Linked DNA regions of Bombyx mori. Each later gene encodes a partner of the first gene's protein in a complex. Links are inferred from orthologs where the notes say so. Each region holds a gene or a part of one and is shown in the gene's direction. Other genes may lie near its edges. The genes, in order: pre-mRNA-splicing factor ATP-dependent RNA helicase DHX16, pre-mRNA-splicing factor CWC22 homolog, RING-type E3 ubiquitin-protein ligase PPIL2, small nuclear ribonucleoprotein Sm D3, E3 ubiquitin-protein ligase RNF113A, armadillo repeat-containing protein 7 and U5 small nuclear ribonucleoprotein 40 kDa protein.

Region 1 (3,500 bases):
GCATTTGGTTAAAACAAAATTAATAGTTTAAAATGTGTCATATCATTTGTCTTTATAGCCTAACAAAAAGAGAAAAAGAAGAAAGGGAACACAAGAAAACTTTATTACAATTAGCTAAAGAACATGAAAAAGCAAGAGAGTTAGAAAATGTTCAAAGATATCATATGCCTCGGGACTTGGGGAAAGGGGAAAAAGGTAATTATCCAAAATTACAAAGAAACCTTTCAAATGAAGAACTAAACAAAGCTTCAAACCTTAAGAGAAATTTAATTATGTAAAATATTTAATTATGTATTTCAAATTATGGGATGAAAAAAACTTAGCTGACGTTAATAAAATGAAGGTTTAAATTATGGACAAAAAGTTTTTCAAGCTATGAACAAAATTTCTGAAATATTTTCATTTTATTAATGATGTTGTTTGGTAAATCATATAGAGTTTAATTGTGAAGTTTCAAATATTCAGTTTGGTCTTAAATTTCTATATTGTTTATTTCTCATCCAATACTTTCATTTTAAAATTTCAAAATTTACAAATCAACAAAACAAAAGAAAATAATTAAAAAATTGTAATCAGTAATAAATTATTTGCTTGTACATCTTGTATATAACCTACTAATTGTATATTACAGGTGAATATGTTGAAGTTGATGAAAATGAGAGGTTGCCACATTCTGAACAGCAAAAATGGGAACAAGAACAAATTAAATCTGCTTTCTTTAAATTTGGTGCAAAAGATGCTAAAGCTACAAATGAATATGATTTATTACTGGATGAACAAATTGATTTCATACAGGCTCTTAAAATGGAAGGTTCTGAAGACAAAAAGGAAAAGTCAGAAATATCAGAATATCAAAAAATTCGAATGACCATTGAAGAAACAAAAAAATCACTTCCAATATATGCGTTTAAACAATCACTTATTGAAGCCATACAAAATTATCAAATTCTAATTGTAGAAGGTGAGACAGGATCTGGCAAAACAACACAAATACCTCAATATCTCCATGAAGCTGGTTTCACTAAAGATGGGAAAAAAATTGGGTGTACACAACCTAGGAGAGTAGCTGCTATGTCAGTTGCTGCAAGAGTTGCACAAGAAATGAACGTAAAACTGGGAAATGAAGTTGGTTATAGTATAAGATTTGAAGATTGCACATCTGATAGAACAGTAATAAAGTACATGACAGATGGAACTCTTCATAGAGAGTTTCTATCAGAACCTGATCTAGCCTCATACAGTGTAATGATCATTGATGAAGCTCATGAACGTACCTTACATACAGATATATTATTTGGTCTTGTAAAAGATATAACCAGATTTAGACCTGATTTAAAATTGCTTATATCCAGCGCAACATTGGATGCTGAGAAATTTTCAACATTCTTTGAAGATGCCCCAATTTTTAGAATCCCGGGAAGGAGATTTCCTGTGGACATCTATTACACAAAGGCACCCGAAGCAGATTATGTAGATGCTTGTGTTGTATCAGTATTACAGATTCATGCCACACAACCTCTTGGTGATATATTGGTTTTTTTAACAGGACAAGAAGAGATTGAAACATGTGTTGAAATGTTACAAGAAAGGACGAAGCGTATAGGCAAAAAACTGCGCGAGCTTTTAATATTACCAGTATATGCCAATTTGCCTAGTGACATGCAAGCTAAAATCTTTGAACAAACTCCTGAAGGAGCTAGAAAAGTCGTTCTTGCTACAAATATAGCTGAAACTTCATTGACAATTGATAATATTATATACGTAATAGACCCAGGTTTTGCCAAACAAAACAACTTCAATTCCAAGACTGGCATGGAAAGTTTAATTGTTGTTCCCATTTCTAAAGCATCAGCAAATCAACGAGCTGGACGAGCCGGAAGGGTTGCTCCTGGAAAATGTTTTAGATTGTACACAGCCTGGGCATATAAATATGAATTAGAAGATAATACTGTACCAGAAATTCAGAGAATAAATTTAGGAAATGCAGTTCTCACTTTAAAAGCTTTAGGCATCAATGATCTAATACATTTTGATTTTTTGGATCCACCACCGCATGAAACATTAGTTTTGGCTTTAGAACAACTTTACGCTCTGGGTGCACTTAATCATCATGGAGAGTTAACAAAAGCAGGCAGAAGGATGGCTGAATTTCCTACCGACCCCATGCTCGCGAAAATGTTGTTAGCTAGTGAAAAGTAAGTAATGTAAACATAAGTCATTCTCTCATAACTAACTTTCATAATGAAGGATTAACTTCTTCTTTTTCTGCATCTTACTATCAGCCAACAGCTCAACACTCACTACTCTCTCTCTCTCTCATATCGTCATTCACACACTCCATCCGTCTTCTTCGATCGACCTCTTTCCTCTCTACCTTGCACTACCAATTCCGTACATCTCCTAGTCACATGCATCTTCTCTCTACGCATCACACGTCCATACCACGCTAACTATCCGCTTTTTAATTTGTTAATTACCGGGGTTACTTTCATACTTCCTCTGATATACTTATTCCTCATCTTATCCATTCTTGTCACTCCACACATCTATCTCAACATTCGCATCTGGAATGAAGGATTTACATTGTGTAATAACCTGGTAAATTTTATAAATTTGTATAATGACTAGTGATAGAGCTGTTGTGGAGATATCGATAATTTTATTATAACTAATGTACAACACAATCAAATCAACAAAACTTTTATTCCACACTTTATACTACAGACTTACAGATTGTGGGTGAAGAAGTAGTTAGTAGCTGATAAATGCGAACGCGTCCACTCATACCCTCTAATTAAAAGCAGTTCAGATTGTCTCAAAATCACTTTAATTCTCACATTTTTCTTGTCTTACAGATATAAATGTTCTGAAGAGGTTGTCACAATTGCAGCAATGCTATCAGTAAATAGCTCCGTCTTCTACCGGCCTAAAGATAAAATAATCCATGCAGATACAGCAAGAAAAAATTTCTTTCATCACAAAGGAGATCATCTGACAATTATGAACTTATACAATCAGTGGGTTGCTTCAGATTATTCGGTGCAGTGGTGTTATGAAAACTTCGTGCAGTATAGATCGATGAAACGAGCTCGAGATGTTCGTGAACAATTAGTCAGCCTGATGGAAAGGGTAGAAATTGAAATGGTTACAAGTTTATCTGATGATACTAATATAAGAAAGGCTATAACGTCTGGTTATTTCTATCATATAGCAAAATTTTCAAAAGGTGGTCATTATAAAACTGTAAAACATAATCAGGTAACGAAACTTAAAATCTTGATAGTTAAAATAATGTTTTTTTCTTTTTCTTATAAATCTATCCAAATATATTTATTGCTTTCAGACAGTTATGATACATCCTAATAGTGCTCTATTTGAAGACCTTCCACGATGGGTGATTTACCATGAGCTTGTATTTACATCTAAAGAATTTATGAGACAAGTCACCGAAATTGAGAGCAAATGGCTACTGGAGGTAGCGCCTCATTATTACAAATCAA
Region 2 (4,181 bases), about 10 Mb from region 1:
CGATAACAATAAACTGTATTACGTTCCGTTTTAAACAGTGACCAGTATAGCTAACTATAAAAGAACAGTTTCGCAGTATATTAAATTGACGTCACATCTTACAATGCTGGCAGTGCTTATCGGAGCATAGCTGTAGTGTGGCTGCTTATGGCGTTGTTCTTGAAATCTTTCCGCTTTTCTTTGTGGGTGACGCATTTACGTTGTAAATGTTTTTTTTTTATGATTGAAAGATTACTGGTGGCCCGGAGGCCTTTCCAGCTTCACCAGGACAGGTGGGCGAGCAAAGGCTCAGCCAGGAGGGGTGGGATTTGCTAACAGCTACCCGAGCGCCTCCGAAGGAGACCTAACAACTCGAGAGCAATTGCTTCGCGAATGAATCTACTACCGGATCGGAATCGCGACCCACTGAGAAGATCCGGTGAGAAACTCAGCGAGCTGATGCATGGGTTAGGTTGCACGTCGACCTCTTTGTCGAGTTCGACGAGTACGGTTACCGGGGTTCCTCAGCCTGCTCCTAGTGTTAGAGCTGAAGGTATCTAATGTAAGAGTTATTGGATCTGATGGATCCGTAAGGACATGTCTAGGGCGACGACGGTGACTTGCTCCTGCGTGATCAGGATTCGGGGAGTAATCAGCGGCGGCAACGATAAGGCGATTATCATGACGTGTCTATGGGCTCCGACGACACGAGAACCCTCTCAACGTGGCCGCCGATAACTACATTGCCGATCTTGCGGACCAAATGGTAAACATTCGACGTCACCCAAAATACGTCATCTCGGATCCTCCTGATCCACTAACGGTGCTTTTAGGTACCCCAAGCACCGGTCATCGTTCTCGTCAAGCCCCTCGCTTGCGACGAAGGACTGGGTGAATAAATTAACCCACAGACACAGCCCACTGAGTTTGTCGCCAGATCTTTTCGGTGGGTCGTGTTTCCGATCCGGTGGTAGATTCTGCGCAGCACTGCTCTTGCTAGGGTTCGTGTTAGCAACATCGTCAGGTTTGAGCAACGTGAGCTCACCTACTAGCCTGGTGACGCTGATATGATCTCTCTAGAACATCAGCTTAGGTAGGAAAAAAAAATCTTTGCTGCAAACATTAGGATTATCCATTAAATTAGCACCTAACAGCGCCGAGAGTGGATAATCTAAAAAAGTTAACTGAATTTGTCCAAATACATAAACACCATTTTACTGATATTATATTTCATCTCATATCATTTCGTTTCATTTAATGTCATCTCAAATCTCAATTGATTAATGTCGCAAAAACAACTTCATTTAAATTTTTTTAAACAATACTTTACTTTATTAGGCCGTATAGTATGATACCTTCACCTTTTCAGTTGGAAAACGGAGTTACTACTACTCTACTACTACTGACATGACAGTAAAATAAAAATGTCAAAACAAAATGGCTGTTTTATTAAGGTCAAGCTGGATTTTACTTAGTGCACGTTCTACTTTTTCATCGAAATAAATTTCATGATTTTACACATAATATTGAAAATGAATAGTTTTAATAATATTGAGTTCTAGATACAGTATTAAATTCTTTTATAAAAAGTTCAATTGTAGTCTAGTAGTGTCAAAACAAAAATCATAAGAATGGAGAAGACTAACACCAAGCAGAAGAAAGATAAATACGAGGAAGATGATGAAAGGCGTAGGTCGAAAAGGTCGAGACGGGCTAGATCTAGATCTAAGTCACTTGAGGAACAGCAGAATAGGGAGTATAGAAGTAAACGCCGGCGTTCCAAATCACGCTCACCTCATTACAAGGCTAGGGAAGATAAACGAGTTAAAGACACACAAAAAGAGCCAGAAACAAAAAAAGATGCCTCTACAAAGCCAGAAAGACGCGCAAAAGATACTGATATGTTGAATACTAGAACAGGAGGTGCATACATTCCACCAGCAAGACTGAGGATGATGCAAGCGCAGATCACGGATAAGTCCTCGATAGCTTACCAAAGACTTGCCTGGGAAGCTCTCAAAAAGTCAATTCACGGTCACATCAACAAAATTAATGTCGGTAACATAGGTATCATTATAAAGGAATTATTGAAAGAAAACATTGTCAGAGGTCGAGGTTTGTTATGCCGTTCTGTTATTCAAGCCCAGGCAGCCTCGCCAACATTCACTAATGTATACGCGGCTCTAGTATCAGCAGTCAATTCACGTTTTCCTAATATCGGGGAGTTGTTACTGAAAAGATTAGTGATTCAATTCAAAAGAGGTTTTAAACGCAATGATAAGTCAATTTGCATTTCCTCTGCATCTTTCATTGCACATTTAGTGAATCAGAGAGTGGCACATGAAATTCTGGCTTTAGAACTTCTCACTTTACTAGTTGAATCACCAACAGATGATTCAGTTGAAGTTGCCATAGCATTCTTAAAGGAATGTGGCCAAAAATTGACTGAAGTATCATCTAAAGGTGTAAATGCAATTTTCGAGATGCTAAGGAACATTTTGCACGAAGGTCAGTTAGACAAAAGAGTTCAGTACATGATAGAAGTAATGTTCCAAGTTTGGAAGGATGGGTTCAAAGACCACCCGGCACTGATTGAAGAGTTGGAGCTCGTGCCTGAAGAAGAACAGTTCACACATCTATTGATGCTGGATGACGCTACAGATCCTCAAGATATCCTGAGTATGTTATATTCTATTAAACTATCCATAAAAAAATAAGCCATAAAACACTTAAGTAGATTATCTGTACAGTCTGTCAATTGAATTATTTGTTCCCCTAAGTTATTTAATAGCTATTGAGGGTATGCACAAGAGTTATTGTAACACTTAAAATGCTAAAAGTTTTGAGTGTATATAACACTCTAAACGAGTAAAGTTTTAATTTTTAATAGGATTAATCAAAAATTTTTATATATAGTTTACATAAAAATGCTTTTAGCTTATTTAAAAATGTAACTTAAACAATCTCAATTTTTTTTCATATACTTTTTGCTTTAAGTTTTAAGATAGTAGTACTCTGTGTTAGTGAATTCAATATCCATTATTTTAGCCTATTTTTATTTTCCATCGTATGTATTAACTCATTTATGCCCAACATTATTGAATGTTATAAACAATTTATCTTAATGCTCCATTTAAAACAAATGTAAAATAAGCAAATTAGTATAAAAGAATAAAAATAACAATTTTCCCAAATGCTTCAGATGTTTTCAAATTTGATGAAAAGTATGAAGAGAATGAACAGAAGTACAAGAATCTTTGCAAGGAAATACTTGGTTCTGATGCTGAGTCCGGTGATGAAGATGGTTCAGGAGAAAGCGGTAGTGAGGAATCTGATGAAGAAGATGAAGAACAACCAAAAAAAGAAATGACTATTATTGATAACACAGAAACAAACTTAGTGGCTCTGAGACGCACTATATACCTGACAATCAACTCCAGTTTAGATTTCGAAGAATGTGCTCATAAACTAATGAAGATGCAACTGAAACCAGGACAAGAAGTGGAACTATGCCACATGTTCTTAGACTGCTGTGCTGAGCAGAGAACATATGAGAAATTCTATGGCTTATTGGCCCAAAGGTTTTGCAACATCAACAGAATATACATCGGACCTTTCGAGGAAATTTTCAAAGATTCATATTCAACAGCACACAGGTTGGACACGAATAGACTCAGAAATGTCAGCAAGTTTTTCGCCCATCTGCTGTTTACAGATTCCATTAGTTGGGAATCTTTGGAATGTGTTAAATTGAACGAAGAAGACACAACTAGTTCTAGTCGGATATACATAAAGATTCTGTTTCAAGAACTGGCTGAATACATGGGACTAAAGAAACTGAATGACCGTCTACAAGATCCGTTCGTATTACTTTGTTTTGATGTTTTTTTAGTTTTATAATAATAAATAAACCCTCAATTTCAAATGGAAATATGACAAATGACAGTGGAAACTCTTTGAAAGGATAGCTCAGGGCACAGACAAGCGATTATATATTGCTGAGAGCAATGACAGTTGTTATGAGAGGTTCACAATAATGAATGTTGATTTTAACTACAATTGCTACATTGCTATGCTCATGGGTGTGATTTAATACTAGCTTTACCCTTTCTTTTGAGTTAGGAGATGGTTTCGGAACCAGTGAACAAAGTTTACGGCTTACCAAAAACTATCTTTATGGTTTAATCTTGCGAACTTTATTA
Region 3 (2,602 bases), on another chromosome or scaffold:
ATCACTCTTTAATTCATGAAGAGTAATGTAAGGGCAAGATTGTTAAGACCAGACAATGTTTGTTTCAGGTTATGTAAGACTGGTAACAAATGTAGGACATCTGAACTTTGAATTGTACTGCGACGTAACGCCCAAAACTTGTCACAACTTCATGACACATTGTAAAAATGGATACTACAACGGAACAAAGTTCCACAGGTCTATCAGGAATTTTATGGTGAGTTGATGAAAATATTAAGTGGCGTTGAGTTTTATACCACGACTAGTGTAAAAAGACTGGTAGTTCTGCTTTGCAGAACTTCAACTTTTTTTATTGCTTAGATGGGTGGACGAGCTCACAGCCCACCTGGTGCTAAGTGGTTACTGGAGCCCATAGACATCTACAACGTAAATGCGCCACCCACCTTGAGATATAAGTTTAAGGTCTCAAGTATAGTAACAACAGCTTTTTTTTTTCGGGGAGAAATCCTCATGGATTGCCTCCGCCTGGTGAAAGGCGGAGGGGCGTGCTGGACTCCTACCGGCTAAAACCACCCTGGTGCCTCACCACACGTGCACGCGGGGCCGCGGGAATCGAAATTCTTCCGCAGGCCCACATAGTTAAAACAGCTGCCCCACCCTTCAAACCGAAACGCATAACTGCTTCACGGCAGAAATAGGCAGGGTGGTGGTCTCCCACGTGGACTCAAGAGGTCCTAAAAAAAGTGTCTGACATCTTGATTAATTAAACTACGTATCGAGGGGTGAAAGGCCATTTGGCTTAAGCTTCGATCAACAATAGTACAATTGTTGATCGAAGGGCTTAAGCGACATTTTTGCTACATTACAGGAGGACCGTTTAAAGTTTATAATTGGGACAAAATATTTTTACGCGTTGGGATTCGGGATAACTAAAAATTCTACCGAAGTACAATTTAAAACTGTATTAACGCATATAACCACTTAACAACGGGTGGGCTGTGAGCTCGTCCACCAATCCAAGCAAAAAAAAAACCACAACATTAAAGTTCTTAATTCACTTCTTCCGCTTCGCTTCAGGTGATCCGTTCGCTGTTTCGCTTCGAGTAGATGCGATTACTGACTGCCTTTGTGTTATCTCTGCAACGCTTTTATAATAGATACAACATTATTATTGCATTGCGTATAAAGCGAAATATCGCTTAAACCAAATAGCCTTACACCTCTCGATATGGCCTCCTGACTGAGCCTTTGCTCGCCCACCTGTCCTGGTGACAATGGAAAGGCCACCAGTAATCCTTCATTTTGAAAAAAAAGTTGGTCTGGGACAGCTAGCTTTATTATTTTAATGAAAACTATCAATGAACAAACAAATTGAATTAGAGACAGATGTGTGTCTAGAGTAATTCTATTGTAAGCTCAGAACTACTTACTATATCTGCAATATGGTTTTTGGGATAAACAGGTGATAAGAGGATACAGAACCTATGACCTATGGTCTCACTTTTCTGTCTATTTTTAACACAAAGCAATCATGCCAGAGGCGTTTAGTTTTAGACTGTCTATAACTGTCTATTACCAGATGGACCGTGAAGTTCGTCTGGCGATTAGACAACTTACCTGTTTAAAATATATGATTTTTTTATTAAACTAGCTGACGCGGCCGACTTCTTAGTGCCTCGATAAACAAAAAACCTAAACTTTTGTAAAAAATAAACTCAAAGGGAAAACAAAATTGTTATTTTTATTTAATTCCGAGCATTTTCATATTTATCTACCTTTTAAACCTTCATTCAATTCAAGACCAAAATTAGCCAAATCGGTCCAGCTGTTCTCGAGTTTTAGCGAGACTAACGACCAGCAATTCATTTTTATATATATAGATTCAAGGAGGAGATCCAACGGGCACAGGGTTGGGAGGCGAATCCATTTGGAAGAAACCTTTTGATGATGAAATTAAGCCAAACTTGCACCACACCGGACGAGGAGTCTTGTCTATGGCTAACTCGGGAACCAATACTAACGGATCACAATTGTAAGTACTAGATGTATTTTTAATAACTATAAATGAACTGAAGCTTTTAGGACTGGGACAGAGTTGCTTTTTTGAAATTGTAGTTTCGTGTTGTATGAATTTTCTAAAACAATAAATAAAATTACTATTCTCAAAACTTCACTATTTGAAAATTAAATAAATACAAGAACGTGAAGAAGACCAGTGCTTTGGTTCTACTCAAGACTGTGAGTTTACCTAGTCTTGCCATAAATACTGAGACAAAGGGAAAAAAAAAATCTATTGCAAAAACGTTTATTACTTTTACAGTGTGTTAGTTTAAAACATAAATATAAAACAATTTAAAGTATTAAAAGATTATTCGAAGTGGTCTCCATTGGCTGCAATACAGTCCTTTGAACGTTGAGGCCAGTTATCAATAGAAGCACACACTCTTTCCATGGGAAAATTTTTCACTGTCAATCGTACGGATTGTTTTAGGGACTCCAAATTATCATGGCGTTTAGAGCAAGCCGTACTCTCTAAAACTGACCATAAATTATAATCCAGCAGATTAAGATAGGGACTAGACGACGGCCAGTCTTCAGCTGTCAAGTTCGAGTCCGAAACGTTCGTTTCCAACCAAGACTG
Region 4 (4,074 bases), on another chromosome or scaffold:
GCAAGTCAGACAGAAGTGGTGTACATCAGATAACCCCGTGAAGGTTGGGACAGTAGTTCTTATTCATCAAGATGACATTCCACCGCTCCGCTGGCCACTTGGAGTTATACAAGAGGTGTATCCAGGTGCCGATAACATTATACGCGTTGCTTTGGTAAAAACGAAATCTGGATTTCTTAAACGTCCAGTTGTAAAATTATATCCGCTACCGCTAGAATAAATTAGAGTACCGCATGTCATCAACCGCTTCAACTCTACTCGTAAACATTCATGATGGCTTATTATTAATTAAAATTTGTTTCTTTTCAAATAACTTCCCGCTATTTAAGCTTTATGCTTCCTATCTTAGTATCTTTATATATTTGTTGAAAGTCCTGCGAACTTTCAAGGCGGGCAGGATGGTCACGCGGATTTAGTAATGGGATGCTAATGAATTATTGGGATGGCGCCACCTTTGGAGTTTGTCAGTAACTAATTACCGCGACTACCCAAAGCGTGGTTCTACCCGATCGATCACGCTTTACCGCTAGCTGCCTAGATGGCGGCACTTGTATATTGTGTGGTGCTTGAGCTTACGAAAAGCTACGTGAGCTTCGTCACCCCCTCCCGCCGCCCGCGTGCTTCCATCGCCGACGCCCGCACGACAGTCACTGGCAAGATCTACAGGTGAGTGCAAGTTCTTTTAATTTATTGCCATTTTATTGCTGCTTCGTGTAATCATTCGCCCGCCCGCTCGCTTATGTGTATTTAATTTATATCTTTAGTTTGATTACTAGCTTTTGTTTACCGCTATATAGTTTTACCGCTCCGCTAATTATAAGTGACAAACATTTGTCACATACCGCTTAGGACGGCTATTTACACGCCTTTCTACAACCCCGCTTTATATGCTCCCGCCGCAGGAGGGCTATTTACACGCCCCCTTGCTACCCCAAGCATAAAGCCTAAGCACCTAGCTTTTTTTACAAATGAAACTAGGTCTATTAGGCTATGTACAGTGAAATGTAATTTATTTAGAAAAATGGTTGGAATTAACTAAGATTACATTTAACTTTTTGCAAAATCTCAATAGTTATACCCTGCGATGCTCTTGCATTTTCAAACCGAAAGGTAGTACTACTTTACGGCAGGAATAGGTAGGGTAGTGTTGTCTGCCTCTGTGGACTCGCAGACATCCTACCATTCCTACCACCAGTAAAGTTGATTTTCACAATGCTAAGGGAATTAAAAATCATAATGGATTTTTGGTAATATGGGTTATGTTGTCTTTGTCTGTCAATGAATGAATAAAAATGTCTATTGTCTATGCACGGAACTCGCCGCCATATTACATTAGATGTCTATGGATTTGAAGCGTCTAATTTTTTTGAAATATTCTTTCCCATTTTTATCGTAAATAATCTAAGAAATAATACTGAATTATTGTCCTTTATCGTACGTTTTTCTTAACTAAAACGTAAACATGTCTATCGGTGTGCCTATTAAAGTACTTCACGAGGCGGAAGGTCATGTAGTGACTTGTGAAACAAATACCGGTGAAGTTTATAGAGGGAAATTAATTGAAGCTGAGGATAATATGAATTGCCAAATGACTCTCGTAACAGTCACATACAGAGATGGCCGAGTTGCACAGCTCGAGAATGTGTACATCCGTGGTTCCAAGATCAGATTTTTAATATTACCGGACATGTTGAAGAACGCGCCAATGTTCAAAAGACAAGGGAATAAACCTACTGCAGGACGAGGGAAGAGTGCGATACTGCGAGCCCAAGGTATTGAACAATATAAAAATAGTGTGTATGTGATTTGTTTATCGAGCTAGGTATCCTAAATGTTCTCTCGCATCACATACGTAGTGATTGTGTTCATTATCAACAAGACAACATACGAGTGTTAATATATGAATGAGTGCTGTCTGACTTGCAGTCTAATTACATCTAGCACTGAAATTGTGAATATGCATTGTTCTTAATTTCGTTTAATTCAAAGACTTAAAAAAGAATAAACATCTTTAGCTTAGAACAACCCATTTCTTTAGGCTTGTTATAAATTAGACTTGAGTGAAGTCTATTTAACAATTACTGCACTATATAACCAAATTATTAAACGAAAATTTCTAAGTAGAAAACGTATGCAAGTATGAAAGATAAGCACATTTAATTACAATCAATAAATAGCCTTCATTAAAATTAGTACAAATGCATTGAATACATAGTGATCAATTGGGTCAAATGAGCAAAAAATAGGTAGTTTGAAGCTTTGATTTTTTAAATGTCTTGTTTGTTTATATCCTGTATAGATATTTTTTGTCACAGTTTTTTAATAGTAATTGAGAATATTTTACAATTTTTCATTCTTGAGTGCTTATATAGACATACAATGTCAAATTTGCAATTTTAAGTTTTGTAATATCAAATCAGTATTTTGTTCCAATGTTAATTGTTTCTAATCATTCAACTATATGTTATTGACAATTTTACTTTGGGTGGTTAAAGAAAATATGTGAATGATGAGACCATGTCAAGTACCTAATGCACACAATCTCACACATCTAAAGTAAAACCTATTTTACATAATGTTATGCAAACTAATAACTGTATCTATTACATTTGTGAAAACCCATTCTTGTGTATTTAAATAATTACGGCAAATTTCTGTTGCTAAACAGGAATGTGAATTGATTTGACGGGCTGGACAGTAACTACAATACATTTGAGCGATCAAATATATGTATCTCTTCATACTCATCTCAAGTATCATGCCAACCAGCATCCTTATTTTGATGTTTGTGGGCCACAGTAAATCATTAATCAAGTGGGTTGTAAGCTTACTCACACATCTAGAGGAATCAAGAAGTAAAATACAAATCTTTGAAATTTTCAGCTGCTGGTCGAGGACGAGCAGGTGGAAGAGGTGGGGGCCACCGTGGAGGCTGGCAAGGTGGGTCAGGACCATCTCGACGCTAGCGTTAAGATATTTTTTAGATAGCTTAAGTTGTACTTGTCTTATATTTCAATTGTCAAGGAATTATTTCATTATCATTCTTATATATTGATATATCTAAGTGAGAAAAATACAAATTTTGGAAATAGAACAACTGTTTGTTCAAAGATTATTATTATGTTCTCAAATGTAACAATAAGGTCCTGTTCCAGATTTTCTGTTTTTTTATTTTGGTCACCCTTCAATCTGCTTTACACATCTTAGGTCTCATGGACCATTTGATCAAATAGACACTACACACTGATGCTACCCTATGGTGACTTATTGTGACTCCCAATCAATACAATGTTTAATCTCTATGTTCTATCCTTATATCAGTCCCAATAATCTAGAAATCTTGTCCATATGATGGGTAATAGTTCAATCTTGTTTTGGCTTGAGGAAATATCTATGTGTGGTTTATGCGGGGGTGACTATTGTAATTAAATATAAAAAGTTATTATAAACTGCCTTGTACAAACCAAACTTAACCAATGGCCGAGTTTTGACAATGTTTTATCCATATAATTTTGAATTTTTTTGCACTGTAACTGGAGCCTATAGACTTTATGAAGGCCTGCACCTACCATGAGGTTTGAGATCAAAGTCCCAGTTGTACTGTTTGGGATAAATGCTGTCTTAATGGGCAAATTGGAATGCTTCGCAGCATAAAACCTGCAACAATCATGCATGTTTGTTAAATGTGTGTAACTCGGCATCTTATCCTTTAGGACACGACAACCTCTTATGCAAAATATTTTTAATTTGAATGTTTTATGTTCGAATTTAGATTAGTTACAAACAGTGTAACAAGTTTACTGAGACTGTCAGCAGATATGTGATAGGATGTGTCGTTGTGGGTGTGAATATCAAAAGATTGAAAACAAATAAAAAACAATTTGGATAATAACTAGTGTTTTTATTTATGAGACACGCAGTGTCAACTAACTATAATTATTATTAGTCAAATTCCACTGGCCACTACTGCTTCTGAGATAGTATAATAATAGAAGTCATGACGGCTTCACTGTACAGACGCACAGGACAGTGGTGTCTAACCATACAAGCTCACACTGCACATCAGCACCTCAG
Region 5 (4,065 bases), on another chromosome or scaffold:
TAATTAGTGATCATTCTTAAATGTTTTTTGTGGCAGCCATTAATGGTGTATACAAAATAATTTATCTATGCGAGCACACAATACCTATACACAATTATTATTTTTACAGTTTGCATTTTATTACACGATGTCATTCTTTTATTGTGTTTCATAAATGTGCACTTCTCATAACGGTCATCTAAGAAATACAAAACGGGGCCGCGTTGCAGAATACGGCAATATTAAGCCTGACAAGTGACAAGCAATCAGTGAGCGCTGTAACCTGTGACGTTTTAATACAAGGATCGATAAAACTAGACTGAGTTTTTTGTGCATTCCTTAAAATATCAAGTCGTCGTGCCCTAAAGGATAAATCGTCCGGTGCATTCGTGTTGAGCGATGCACCGGTGTTCGAATCCCGCAGGCGGGTACCAATTTTTCTAATGAAATACGTACTCAACAAATGTTCACGATTGTCTTCCACGGGGAAGGAATAACATCGTGTATTAAAAATCAAACCCACAAAATTATAATTTGCGTAATCACTGGTGGTAGAACCTCTCGTGAGTCCGCAAGGGCAGATACCACCACCCTGCCTATTTCCGCCGTGAAGCAGTAATGCGTTTCGGTTCGAAGCGTGGGGTAGCCGTTGTAACTATACTGAGACCTTAGAACTTATATCTCAAGATGGGTGGCGCATTTACGTTGTAGATGTCTATGGGCTCCAGTAACCACTGAACATCAGGTGCGCTGTGAGCTCGTCCATCCATCTAAGCAATAAAAAAAAAATTACACCCTAAACCTTTTAGCATTCAATATTTCCAGTTTGTATGGTAAATTATGATTCCACTTCCACTTTATTTCAAGGCAGCTAATGACTTTATTAATTTATCTATTTATTATTACTATAAAAGAGACATGAACATCGTGATAAGAATAGTGTTTATTATGTCCATTACAATGTTTGAGTTTTAACTCTGGTTTCAACTTTTAACAGTAGTAGTAGAAAGGGCTTAAGTGTGAAAAAAAAAAGAATTCCTCAATGTGGCTGTGTGGCTGCTCGGGTCCCTTCCAAATTGCCTAGAAGCCTCAATAAGTCTCCGCTAATTTACTGACAGGCTATTTTATTTCATCTTATACAACATGTACGGCTTTCTCTTATTTAACCTTATTATTCCATATGCTAATTTAAGTTTTGATTTAACTTCAGGCATTGCTATAAATGTTTAAGCTATGTTGTATGGGCAGTATTCCCTCCATTCAATAGACAAATCATAGTTTAAAAAAACAACTATCCGTCAAAATCAATCACATGTCAATGTTAAAAATGAGCATTATTTTGATCATTGCCAATATTATCATGTTGTGAAATGCAAAAATTAATTAAAAACCCTATAAATACCGACAATACTTGAAGGTCCTAAAGTGAAATACAGTACTTTTATTTAGTATTATTGTGTCCTCATTAATGATTATGTAGATATTACTCTAATATCGTAGTAAGCACACACTAGGTTGAATAAACAATCGTTCAAAATGTCAGACGCCGAAGTGGAAGTACTCAGTACTTTTAAAAAACGTAATATTAAGAATAGGGGTGGCAGAAAACGTAAAACTTCCAGTTCAGAAGGTAATATTGATCGTTAAGTTATTAAATTATTCTCCAAACGAAAGACATCTAAGAATAGTACATTAAAACTATCTCATCGCTTCTTCATATCCTCTTTCTCACTGTTCCCAGACCCCCGTATTATAAGTGCTTTTATTAAGTGTATAACTACTAACTATAAAATTATAATTATATGTAGCGCATTATTCTCTGTACATAATCTTTATTATAATATGTAAGTTTGTAGTAACATTAATTTTGTGTTAGTCCCAGGCACCATTAATATAGCCAAAATTGGATACTTTTTATAATATAAAGTGTGTTTAAATAGCTCGACAATGTTCCATATGTAGCCATAACACGACACTGGCAGAAATTGCTGGCAGAAACTATCGGCAGATTACCATTATAAAAAAAATATATCGACGCTTGAAAGGCAAAAGTGACTAAGCGACAATAACTGCTTTGCACATAAATGATAGGCAATAACCATATTCGATCCGCAAAAAATATATATTTCTAGGTCTATTAAAATTATTTCAATCCTACAGCTACTAGCTAGTTTCTACTACAACTGGATTCGTTAAAATAAATTTTGTTTTCATGTATTTCAACTTTAAATTAGTCTACCGTAAAGTTCACGCATTGTCGCTTAGTCACGTTTGCCTTTCAAGTGTCGATATATATTTTATCATATGAGGCCGTCAGCGCAAAAGCAGCCTAAGCGTACTATAGTTATTATGGAGCAATGAGGCTTTAGTTTTCATGAATTTGAATTTGAGTTGGCAAAAAAAACAATATGCGCTAAAATAATGATTACAAAGCCATCTGCTTTCTATGGGTGAAACTATGGATAGGCCGGTTTTGCATAAAAATTTATTATATATTAAATAAATTGCAATATACATGATTATAAGCATGAAAAATTGTGGGTTAGGCCACTTTTGCGCTGACAGCCTCATATATACTTGATATTTTTTTTTTTTATAAATATAAATATTTACTAACAATCACTCCACGTTAACTGGTCCCGTGCTAAGTTCGTAAAGAACTTGTGTTACAAGTACCAGATAACGGAAATAAATATAATATTTTTATTATACACATATATATATATATATATATATATATTTAATATACACCCATAACCCTGGAAAGACATTTATATTTATCATACAAATATCTTCCCTTGGCGGGATTCGAACCTGCGACCCCCTTGTGTAGTGACCATGTCACTTACCACTACACCAGACGGCTGCTTAATATATAATTTAATATAGTAACGTTTCAGAGAAAAACAGCTCGGACTCTGATGAGCAACAAGTAGTTCTACCAACGAAAAGGGTGAACAAACCAAATCCAAACATACAGTCTACAGGAGGTCCGAAGAAATCCAAAATTGATGTAATTGAAGATAATGATGATAGTAATGATGAAGAAAAGGTATAGTAACATTAACAGCTCATCATCATCATCAACTCACTTGGATATCATCAGATTTGATAATCTGATCTATAATGAGATCTGCACCTTTGAAGCACCAGATATAAGATATCATAAACAGGCTGTTGGTCCATCTTGTAGAAGGCCTACCCACACTTCAAATCTTCACATACTTCATACATATTTAGATATATAATAGCCACTTGAGAACTTTTGGTTCCAACAGCCTGCTTGCTGCCATTTCAGCCTTTCGGGTTGTCTTTTTTTATTCCTTAAGTTCTTAAGTGGTTACAGGAGCCCATAGACATCTACAAAGTAAATGCCGCCATGCATCTTGAGATATTTGTTAGTGTCTCAGTTATATCTCCACTGAAATCAATATTATCAACAATTAGAGCAGTTTATCTTTACTTAAATCTGGCACACATCTTTTTATCTCTTTAATCTTTTTACACGTCATCTTTATGTTGAAGTCTTGTCTTCTGTATTGAACATAAAAAAAAACCGTTTTAAGATCCATTTAGATCAACATAAGCTTACAATTCTTTCAGACTTCTCAAAGGACAACACTATCGGTTCAACAACAGAGAGAGAATGCAACAGCTACCTATGAATTAGACACAGAAAAGGATAGAGATGCCCAAGCCATCTTTGAGAAGGCTCAGAAGATCAATGAAGAGTTGCACGGACAAGCAGATGATAAGGTATCCATTTCTTCTTCTTCTTCTTCTTCTTTGTCGTTTCCTCATTACTGAGGATCGTGACCACCTTGGTCCAGTTTTTGCACCAGCTTCCTCCAATGTTGCCTGAGGGAGAATGCGGGAGGGACAGCGTAACCGCTCTAATGTTAAAGAGCCTAGGCTCGGATGGTACCAAGATTTTACACTCCATTTGCCAGAAAATATGGCGTACTGGCCAGTGGCCTGAAGACTGGACGGAATCAATGTTAATTCCTCTCCATAAAAAAGGCTCCACGCGCAAATGTGAGAACTACAGGTATCCATTTAACAGTATTGAAATCGCACACTTCGTGG
Region 6 (4,129 bases), on another chromosome or scaffold:
ATTATTTATATGGACCGAAATGATGAATACAATCCATAATTTAAGCACAATACACAACATAGTGTAAATTAAGCTGGTTTCTATTCTGAAGCGATGTGACGTGAATGATAATCAACAATACAATGATCAAAAAAAGTATGTGCATGTTATATTTTAGAAAATTATTATTTAATTTCCTTAAAAATCACAACTCTGAAACAAAATCATAAAATAGAATAAAAAATAGAAAACAAAAGGACTGGAAATGCAATAATACAATTTTATTTAATCAACATTTTCAAAATAATCTTTGAGCAAGAGTAAGATATCAGGTGAATAAGATAAAAAACCGGCTTTATCTGATTACTGCCAATAATAACAAAAATAAAAGAAATTCTTTCTAAGCGAAATAACTAAACTCAATTAATTCACTCACTCATAATTGGATATCTCGGATTTTTAATTAATGTTACATTTAAAATCTGAGGCCTGTTTTTATTTGTGTGTGCGTTGTGAATGTTAACAAAATCATGATTCGACGCGTGAATAGATTATGAAATAACAAAAGTTTTGATTCGTTTGAGTTCTTTTAACTTTTTTTTTTTTTTATTGCTATAAAGAACATACGACCGGGCAGATGTTACAAGGTAAATGTCGCGAAAAAAAAGTAATTATATATATACTTTTCTTTTACCTATAATACTTACATAAACTAACTGATAAACATATTAACCTTCTTTACATCACGCAATTAAGTGATAGTATAGGCTAAAAAATCTATTATAAGATATCAGTGACAACCCTAACAAGCCATCCCTATTTTGTCTTTTGGCGTTCCAATTTTGTGTTTTCTCGTCCCTAATTTTTCCAGTCTCGTTCCAAATTACCCTACAAACGTCCCAATTTTCCCCAAAAAGGAAAGAAAAAATATACATTTTTTATTTTGTCGAAATATTGTATTTAAAATAAGAATATTGCAACTTACCGTTTGTTGTGGTATTTCCAGGTGTATTAAAAACTTATATAAACTGTGATCTTATTGAAAAAACAACGATAATATTACTTTTTTTAAAAGTTCTTTAAGCTGTTTTAAAACGCACTTTTCAACCACTATTTTCAATTTAATTTGACGAATTTTTGGGACCAACTTAACTCATATTTAGTACTTCTATAGTTAACTTGGTTTTTCTTCTATACATTGACAAATATTAACATAAACAAAATTAGGTAGATTCCGTGCTACAGGTACTTTGAGAATCTTCCGCAGGTTTGTCCCAATTTACCCCAGGATCCCAATTTACCCCATGTCATGGTAGATAAAATGTTCCCTTCCGCATGTCATTGTGCCACCTGTCAAATGTCAAAAACAACAGAGAAAACTGTCATGGCGTGTCAATTGAATTATTGAATCAAAGGAAAAATAAGGAATGTGTATTTACTTTAATGAAAGTGGTCCAGTCAAAGTAGGATTTTTTCTATAGCCTTTTAAGTTACTATAATTTAATGTTCAGTTCAAGAGCACACTTACAAAAACGTACCCCAAAAGATGGTACTGATCGCGAGGCATATTTGTCATTATTAGTCGACGAATATTTACACTCAAGTTCCTATGGTAATAAAATATACATGCAATATCTATTTAATTAATTTTAATGCGATTTACGTATGAACTTTCACAATTGCCATTAAAGTTTTTACTTTTAAAAATCTTAGATAGTTAGAAAACTATTGCATAAACAAGGGCGACCTTAATGCTAAAGAGTACTCACAGTACAGCTAGCCCTATTGCGTTTGGATAATGGTATTTTTCGTTTTAATAAAATTAAATTGTGTATGTGACTTATGGGATATGATTATAGTGATTTTAATATTTATATTTTATATTTATATTTATTGTATCATACATTAGTTTTTTTTCTTCATTATTAAGTAATGTGCATGAAGGTTTGCTCTGTTTCTGAATAATTAATAACATACCTGTTGGATCTTTTTCACAATTTCTCTAGATAAAAAAGGTTGTTTAGAAGAGATGATTGTGTGACACAATGATGATTGTGTTTTGGTGTGTAGTAAAGTAATCTATCTCTCTCTATCTCTGTCTCTCCACGGCTCTCTCCATGGCACTGCAATTTGTTAATGTTATTTTTCCTTACAGAAGCAAAGTTGCAAGTTTTAGCCAATTTGGCAAATTTTGCATATGATCCTGTGAACTACTCATACATTAGAGACGTTGGAGTACTAGATATATTCTTGTATGTGCTGAAGAATGAAACTATTGGTAGATTAATAAGGTATGCCATTGCGGGTGTCTGCAATTTGTGTTTAGGTAAGCTGTTGATAACAATAGATGAATAGTTTTCTCAAATTATTATAAGTTCAATTAAACTGTCAATTTTTTTATGAAAACTCTTATAAGAAAGAACCTGTTCAATAAAAGTATTCTTTATATTATTATGTACAATAATTTATTTAAGATTATCAAAGTAGCTCTATTTAAATTTAATTAAATACTTGAACTATTTGAATATTTGTGAGTGTTGATAAGATGTGATTTAGTGCATTTTAAAGTAAATTAAAATTGAAAGTGCCCAATAATATGTAGTGAGCTTGCACCGTTTTCTTGTAAATGTTTTAAGTGCAATGCTGCTTATACCAAATAGCCATTTTCCCCTCAATATTGTGTAACTGTCCCTACATACCATTAAATTGGAACTCTCTTTATTATATTGGAAAGTCTTAAGCCCATTAGACTGAAATGGTTTATTAATGTTATATCTGACAGTAGTACCAACACATGCTGCCACCACACTACTGACAGTATTCAAGATAATAATTAGAAGAGTAAGGAAAGTAGTAATTAAAAAGTAAAAAAAATTTGATTCTGATTCTCAATAATATTTTCATTAAGAAAGAATAAAATAGCAAATGCATTAATAAAATAGCAATAGACCCGACTACCGACTAAACCCCATCGAGCTCCACTACTCCGACTCCACGAAACCTACGGTACCGCACAATGCGCGCCGCAGGCTCGCCGTCGCCGGTACCCGTCCTGACAATAGGACGGGATCCAATCCCCGGGAAGATCCCGCAGGAATAGACTAGCAATAGAATAGCAATAGACCCGAAATAAATTATTGCTAAAAAAGAAATTAGTAATACTAAAGATTTATCAGTCATTTTGAATCAAACATTTTGAAGTCGTTGTGGTCTAAAGGATACTCCGTTTGGTGCATGCGTATCTTGCGATGCATTGGTGTTCGAATCCGGCGGGTATCTGGCGGGTATCTGGCGGGTACCAAATTTTCTAATGAAATACGTACTTAACAAATGTTGACGATTGACTTCCACAGTGAAGAAATAACATCGCTTAATAAAAATGAAACCCACAAAATTATAATTTGCGTAATTACTGGTACCTATTGTGAGTCCGCACGGGTAGGTACTACCACCTTGCCTATTTCAGCCGTGAAGCAGTAATGCGTTTCGGTTTGAAGGGTGAGGCAGCCATTGTAACTATACTGAGACCTTAGAACTCATTACAAGGTGGGTGGTGGCATTTACGTTGTAGATGTCTATGAGCTCCGGCAACCACTTAACTTCAGGTGGGCTGTGAGCTCGTCCACCCATCTAAGCAATGTAAAATCCCAAATTTAGAAAAACGCTAGAATCATCTTTAAAAATTTGACACTATATAAAATCATATTGCTATTTCACATTTCACATGTTTATGTAAGAATTATCACTTTTCAGATCCACTGAATGCAGACTATATTTTAACTCACTTGGGATTAAAACCTTTGTTTCGATTATTGAAGTCAAGTGATACAGACACTGTAGCTGATACAATAACGACATTGATATATATGTACAATGAGAAAACAAAAACTGAAATAACTGATCAAGACGTTATAAATATGATGTCAAATTTGAAAACTACGCAGGATTTGAGGATCGTCAATTTAGCTACAGTTTTTCTACAAAATGTGTGTAAGACCACCTGAATAGTTACATAAACGAACTTCATAATGAACAAGATGCTCTCGAATAGATTCCCCTATATTATTGTGAACAATAAAAATTATCAAAAAATATGCAAGATTCATACCACATCCTTCAGCAACACAGCTTTTAAAGCTGGTGATAAAAT
Region 7 (3,960 bases), on another chromosome or scaffold:
ACCAATCTAAGCAATAAAAAAAAAAAAATGCGTTCTCGTCTCTTTTAAAAGTTCATTACACAAACAAAGCGATCGGGGCTACACGTGAAAAAATTGTAACTTAAACAAATGATTTATAGCCGTCGTGACCTAAAGGATATGACGTTTGGTGCATTCGTATGTAGCGATGTAACGATGTTCGAATTGCGCAGGCAAGTGCCAATTTTTCTAATGAAATACGTACATATCAACTAAACTGACTTCCACGGTAAAGGAATAACATCGTGTAGTAAGAACAAAGCCCGCAAAATTATAATTTGCATAATTACTGATGGTAGGACGTCTTGTGAGTTTGCACGGATAGGTAGCACCACCCTGCCTATTTCTGCCATAAAGCAGTAATACGTTTCATTTCGAAGGCTGGGACAACCATTGAATTTTTGAGGAGGCAGTCTCCTCCCGGTGATGGTCACGGGGCCTCCCCCGGGCCAACTCCCTCACCTGAGGGGGTTGAGGCTGCGCCGCACGCTACCTACCATCACTCTAGCGCGCTGGCACAAGGAGGACGGGACAACACGTCAGCGACTACGGCCTGCAATGCGGTCCGCATTGTCGTCGTCACTATCGTCGCCGAACATACTGTGGAAGAGCAACGCGGTCGGAGGTGTATCGCGTTCTGACCCATCAGGCTGGTTTTGGCCAAGCAGAGTATCCCAGAACACCAGCGGCATCGCCCGGGCGGCCAGGTAGGGCCACCGTACCGCGGAGACCAGCGTCATTGGTCATCGACTACCGTCTCGACGACCCGTCGGTCAGGGGTCCTCGGAGGGGCGCCGCGTGTCTGGTTATAGTGTTGACCGCGGGAACCCCCCCTACATTGTCCGGATTCTGAGCCCGGACGGAGATCGGACGTTGGGTGTAAATGTGCAAGGGAGTCGTTTAGTGCGGTAGGGCCCTAAAACTCCTTGGGCCCGCGGTCTGCTCCCAAAACCTGCAGATCGTAAAGTTCCACATATCTCACGCCCTCTTAGGCGCGGGGACCTCTTAGAAGGATCGGCCCCGGGCCCGAAAAAAAACCATTGTACTTTAAAAACTGGGACATTAGAATTCAAATCTCAAGGTGCATGGCGGCATTTACATTGTAGATGACTATGGGCTCTAGTAAACACTTTAAGTTCTTCATTTTGAATGACTCATTATCTCATCTTCTCATCTGAATAGGTATACAAAAAAAAAACTTTTTAGAAGGTAGCTTTGTCTTTTGTTACAAAGAATTTGGCGATATTGGCTATTTTCCTTTTGCCTATACAATTGACAAATGAAACAAGCTAAACAGTCCTTATACCATTTTTAAGGTTAGTATTTCTGTTTGTAGCTATAAAAACAAATAGGTAAATAAACATCTTAAAAAATGCCAGATATAGAAACTAAAAGAAAAGCAGAGGATGTGTCTCTTGTACCCTCCAAGCGAGTACGGCATGAGATCTCAGTAGTCGGCACCAGAGAAAAGGCAGTTGTTACTTCATCTGTGAGTATTGTTTTCAATAAAGTTTACTTATTTTCTCAATAGTACGGTCTATAAAAGCTAAGAACTCTAACGCCACGGTGAAAGCATCAAGAGATCATAATTATAATTATTAGAAATGGAACATAACATCTAAAATAAACTTTTAGAAAAACACAATCTGTACTTAGGTAATCATGATTGATATTTGTTAAAATTTAAGGTAATACGAATTTTAGTCGGCTTTTACTTTAAGATTTATTTTTCAACATTTGTAGTGATCAACAAGATTCCAAGATTCCTGTGTTTTGTATTTTATATTCTTGTCGTTCTAGGTTCCACGAACATCAAACTTGTATGCGCCAATTATGTTGTTGGAAGGACACCAAGGAGAAATTTTCACAGGCAAATTTCATCCTGAAGGCAAACATTTGGCTTCTGCAGGCTTTGACAGACAAATATGTAAGTAACAAAATCATGACAAAGCTTTTGAATTGGCAAAGTGTTTCTAAAATTCACACTCTAATAATATACTACTATCAAAACGTTAATGAAGAATTGACACATTTGATAACACAAATTATAAGATTACAGTAGGTAGGTTTTAAATTTAATTGAAAAGAGTGAACAAGGTAAAATCTGACCTAGTGTATAAGTGATTATTGGAGACCATAGACATTATATTACAGCGTCTTAAATTTTCTCTGAAGTCCAAATCCATTTCAGTTTGATTTAATATGCATTATTAAGAATGACTGCCAGTACCAATATCCCAGGCATGGGCCACACTGTACTGGGGTTTTAGTGACACGAGCCCTATAATGTAGGGAACAATATGATACAATACTCAAAATGATAGCTGATATAAACTGTTTAGCTTAAGCCACCATTAATATAAAAAAATACAAAATAAATGTTTATACCATTGAAAATTTCCACCAATGTCAGGGTCATGTTGACAACTTATAAGCTGTACAAGTCCAACTTAGTAATATTATGATTTTTGATTTCTTATTTTCACAGTAATATGGAATGTGTATGGTCAATGCGAGAATGTGATGGTGATGAAAGGTCACACGGGAGCAATAATGCAGCTTTGCTTCTCACCTGATGGTTCACATTTGTACACTGGAGCTACGGACAATACTGTAGCAGTATGGGACGTACCCACCGGGACTAGAATCAAGAAGTTAAAGGGTCACGCTAACTTTGTGAACTCTGTTTCAGGTATGTTTCATAGTTTGAGTTTTGACACACAATGGTTTTCATGCTAGTGCTTTTTAGTAGTACAAATACACAACAGTAACTTAATTAAACATTACTTTGCACTCTCAGAGCCTTAAAGTGATTGGATCCAAATAAAGTGGGATTGACCTAAAATTGAAACTATAATCCGTAACCATGGTTTGAAACCAGATAACATCAATCTAAAATCTCAATGCCTGTGGATACAATAGAACTGTAAATTCATTCATGGCATCCATTAAAAAATTGGTTTAGACAACGTAACAATCTATTCTAACTTTCTCGTGTTATCTCTATATCCAGGAGCAAGAAGAGGTCCAGAACTCTTAGTTTCAGCTTCAGATGATAACACCATAAAATTATGGGATGCAAGGAAAAGGAATCCAGTTGCATCGTTTGACAGTTCATATCCAGTCACAAGTGTACTCTTCAATGATACAGCTGAAAAAATTTTATCCAGCGGTGTGGACAATGTCATCAAAATGTGGGATATAAGGAATAATCAGATTTCCTTGAAAATAAAAGGACATACAGACACGGTTACAGGTTGGTAATTCTTTATTGATTCTGATTAATTAGATTTTTATTAGGTGATAATACTGCAACCAGAAATTAAATTAAAATATTGATACAGTTTATCTAGAGTGGAGTGAGGGCAATATGATGACAGTAATGACTTCAGTCTATTAGTTAACTACTAAAATACTGATTACCATACAATGTATTTAACAAATATTGATCTTATGAGGAAATGAGAATGGATTGATTGGTATGCAGTACAGTAGTAGTAGTTGCATACATATGTATTTCTCTTTATAATCCCTGTTGTTACTTGTTGACGGGTGTATTGTAAACTTCTTCACCCATTCTGCCTTCGGTAGCCCAAACTGGTATTAGGTAATTTTAGAGAAATGTAACAGCTATTATTAGAATGTCTCTAGCCTTATAAGTAGTAATAATTCATGACTAAGACTACTTGTTTAGTTTACTTGTAGATCGTGAAGTCATCTACCCAGGTGCGGCAATAAATATGTGAATAGAAATCATATGAGTTTGATACATTTAATGACTGGCAATGTCTAACTTGTGTTGCAATACTCGTTTCCAGGATTATCATTGTCATGGGATGGTGCATATCTCCTGTCCAATTCAATGGATAATACACTCCGTATTTGGGACGTTAGACCGTTTGCACCAACAGAACGCTGTGTCAAATTAATGTCTGGCCACCA

What was found.
Region 2: pre-mRNA-splicing factor ATP-dependent RNA helicase DHX16 (region 1) and pre-mRNA-splicing factor CWC22 homolog share a complex: the UniProt entries of both Homo sapiens proteins name them as parts of the minor spliceosome. The link is inferred for Bombyx mori from reciprocal best matches to the Homo sapiens genes DHX16 and CWC22.
Region 3: pre-mRNA-splicing factor ATP-dependent RNA helicase DHX16 (region 1) and RING-type E3 ubiquitin-protein ligase PPIL2 share a complex: the UniProt entries of both Homo sapiens proteins name them as parts of the minor spliceosome. The link is inferred for Bombyx mori from reciprocal best matches to the Homo sapiens genes DHX16 and PPIL2.
Region 4: pre-mRNA-splicing factor ATP-dependent RNA helicase DHX16 (region 1) and small nuclear ribonucleoprotein Sm D3 share a complex: the UniProt entries of both Homo sapiens proteins name them as parts of the minor spliceosome. The link is inferred for Bombyx mori from reciprocal best matches to the Homo sapiens genes DHX16 and SNRPD3.
Region 5: pre-mRNA-splicing factor ATP-dependent RNA helicase DHX16 (region 1) and E3 ubiquitin-protein ligase RNF113A share a complex: the UniProt entries of both Homo sapiens proteins name them as parts of the minor spliceosome. The link is inferred for Bombyx mori from reciprocal best matches to the Homo sapiens genes DHX16 and RNF113A.
Region 6: pre-mRNA-splicing factor ATP-dependent RNA helicase DHX16 (region 1) and armadillo repeat-containing protein 7 share a complex: the UniProt entries of both Homo sapiens proteins name them as parts of the minor spliceosome. The link is inferred for Bombyx mori from reciprocal best matches to the Homo sapiens genes DHX16 and ARMC7.
Region 7: pre-mRNA-splicing factor ATP-dependent RNA helicase DHX16 (region 1) and U5 small nuclear ribonucleoprotein 40 kDa protein share a complex: the UniProt entries of both Homo sapiens proteins name them as parts of the minor spliceosome. The link is inferred for Bombyx mori from reciprocal best matches to the Homo sapiens genes DHX16 and SNRNP40.

Annotation. Positions count from the first base shown.
Region 1 is NC_085110.1:11,482,215-11,485,714, reverse strand, and holds part of pre-mRNA-splicing factor ATP-dependent RNA helicase DHX16, read left to right. Parts: intron 1-58; coding exon 59-195; intron 196-631; coding exon 632-2,195; intron 2,196-2,855; coding exon 2,856-3,258; intron 3,259-3,343; coding exon 3,344-3,500. UniProt on the Homo sapiens protein: Required for pre-mRNA splicing as a component of the spliceosome. Contributes to pre-mRNA splicing after spliceosome formation and prior to the first transesterification reaction.
Region 2 is NC_085110.1:1,337,975-1,342,155, reverse strand, and holds the start of pre-mRNA-splicing factor CWC22 homolog, read left to right. Parts: upstream 1-1,381; 5' UTR 1,382-1,610; coding exon 1,611-2,658; intron 2,659-3,181; coding exon 3,182-3,839; intron 3,840-4,181. UniProt on the Homo sapiens protein: Required for pre-mRNA splicing as component of the spliceosome. As a component of the minor spliceosome, involved in the splicing of U12-type introns in pre-mRNAs. Promotes exon-junction complex (EJC) assembly.
Region 3 is NC_085116.1:14,595,389-14,597,990, forward strand, and holds part of RING-type E3 ubiquitin-protein ligase PPIL2, read left to right. Parts: intron 1-68; coding exon 69-217; intron 218-1,841; coding exon 1,842-1,993; intron 1,994-2,602. UniProt on the Homo sapiens protein: Has a ubiquitin-protein ligase activity acting as an E3 ubiquitin protein ligase or as an ubiquitin-ubiquitin ligase promoting elongation of ubiquitin chains on substrates.
Region 4 is NC_085122.1:328,611-332,684, reverse strand, and holds small nuclear ribonucleoprotein Sm D3, read left to right. Parts: upstream 1-1,274; 5' UTR 1,275-1,462; coding exon 1,463-1,772; intron 1,773-2,883; coding exon 2,884-2,966; 3' UTR 2,967-3,892; downstream 3,893-4,074. UniProt on the Homo sapiens protein: Plays a role in pre-mRNA splicing as a core component of the spliceosomal U1, U2, U4 and U5 small nuclear ribonucleoproteins (snRNPs), the building blocks of the spliceosome.
Region 5 is NC_085108.1:7,585,954-7,590,018, forward strand, and holds the start of E3 ubiquitin-protein ligase RNF113A, read left to right. Parts: upstream 1-1,265; 5' UTR 1,266-1,515; coding exon 1,516-1,609; intron 1,610-2,879; coding exon 2,880-3,031; intron 3,032-3,582; coding exon 3,583-3,735; intron 3,736-4,065. UniProt on the Homo sapiens protein: Required for pre-mRNA splicing as component of the spliceosome. As a component of the minor spliceosome, involved in the splicing of U12-type introns in pre-mRNAs. E3 ubiquitin-protein ligase that catalyzes the transfer of ubiquitin onto target proteins.
Region 6 is NC_085121.1:11,321,643-11,325,771, forward strand, and holds the start of armadillo repeat-containing protein 7, read left to right. Parts: upstream 1-1,329; 5' UTR 1,330-1,482; coding exon 1,483-1,591; intron 1,592-2,134; coding exon 2,135-2,305; intron 2,306-3,732; coding exon 3,733-3,983; 3' UTR 3,984-4,129. UniProt on the Homo sapiens protein: As a component of the minor spliceosome, involved in the splicing of U12-type introns in pre-mRNAs.
Region 7 is NC_085109.1:1,115,071-1,119,030, forward strand, and holds the start of U5 small nuclear ribonucleoprotein 40 kDa protein, read left to right. Parts: upstream 1-1,160; 5' UTR 1,161-1,390; coding exon 1,391-1,507; intron 1,508-1,818; coding exon 1,819-1,945; intron 1,946-2,506; coding exon 2,507-2,710; intron 2,711-3,031; coding exon 3,032-3,274; exon of another isoform or gene 3,275-3,836; coding exon 3,837-3,960. UniProt on the Homo sapiens protein: Required for pre-mRNA splicing as component of the activated spliceosome. Component of the U5 small nuclear ribonucleoprotein (snRNP) complex and the U4/U6-U5 tri-snRNP complex, building blocks of the spliceosome.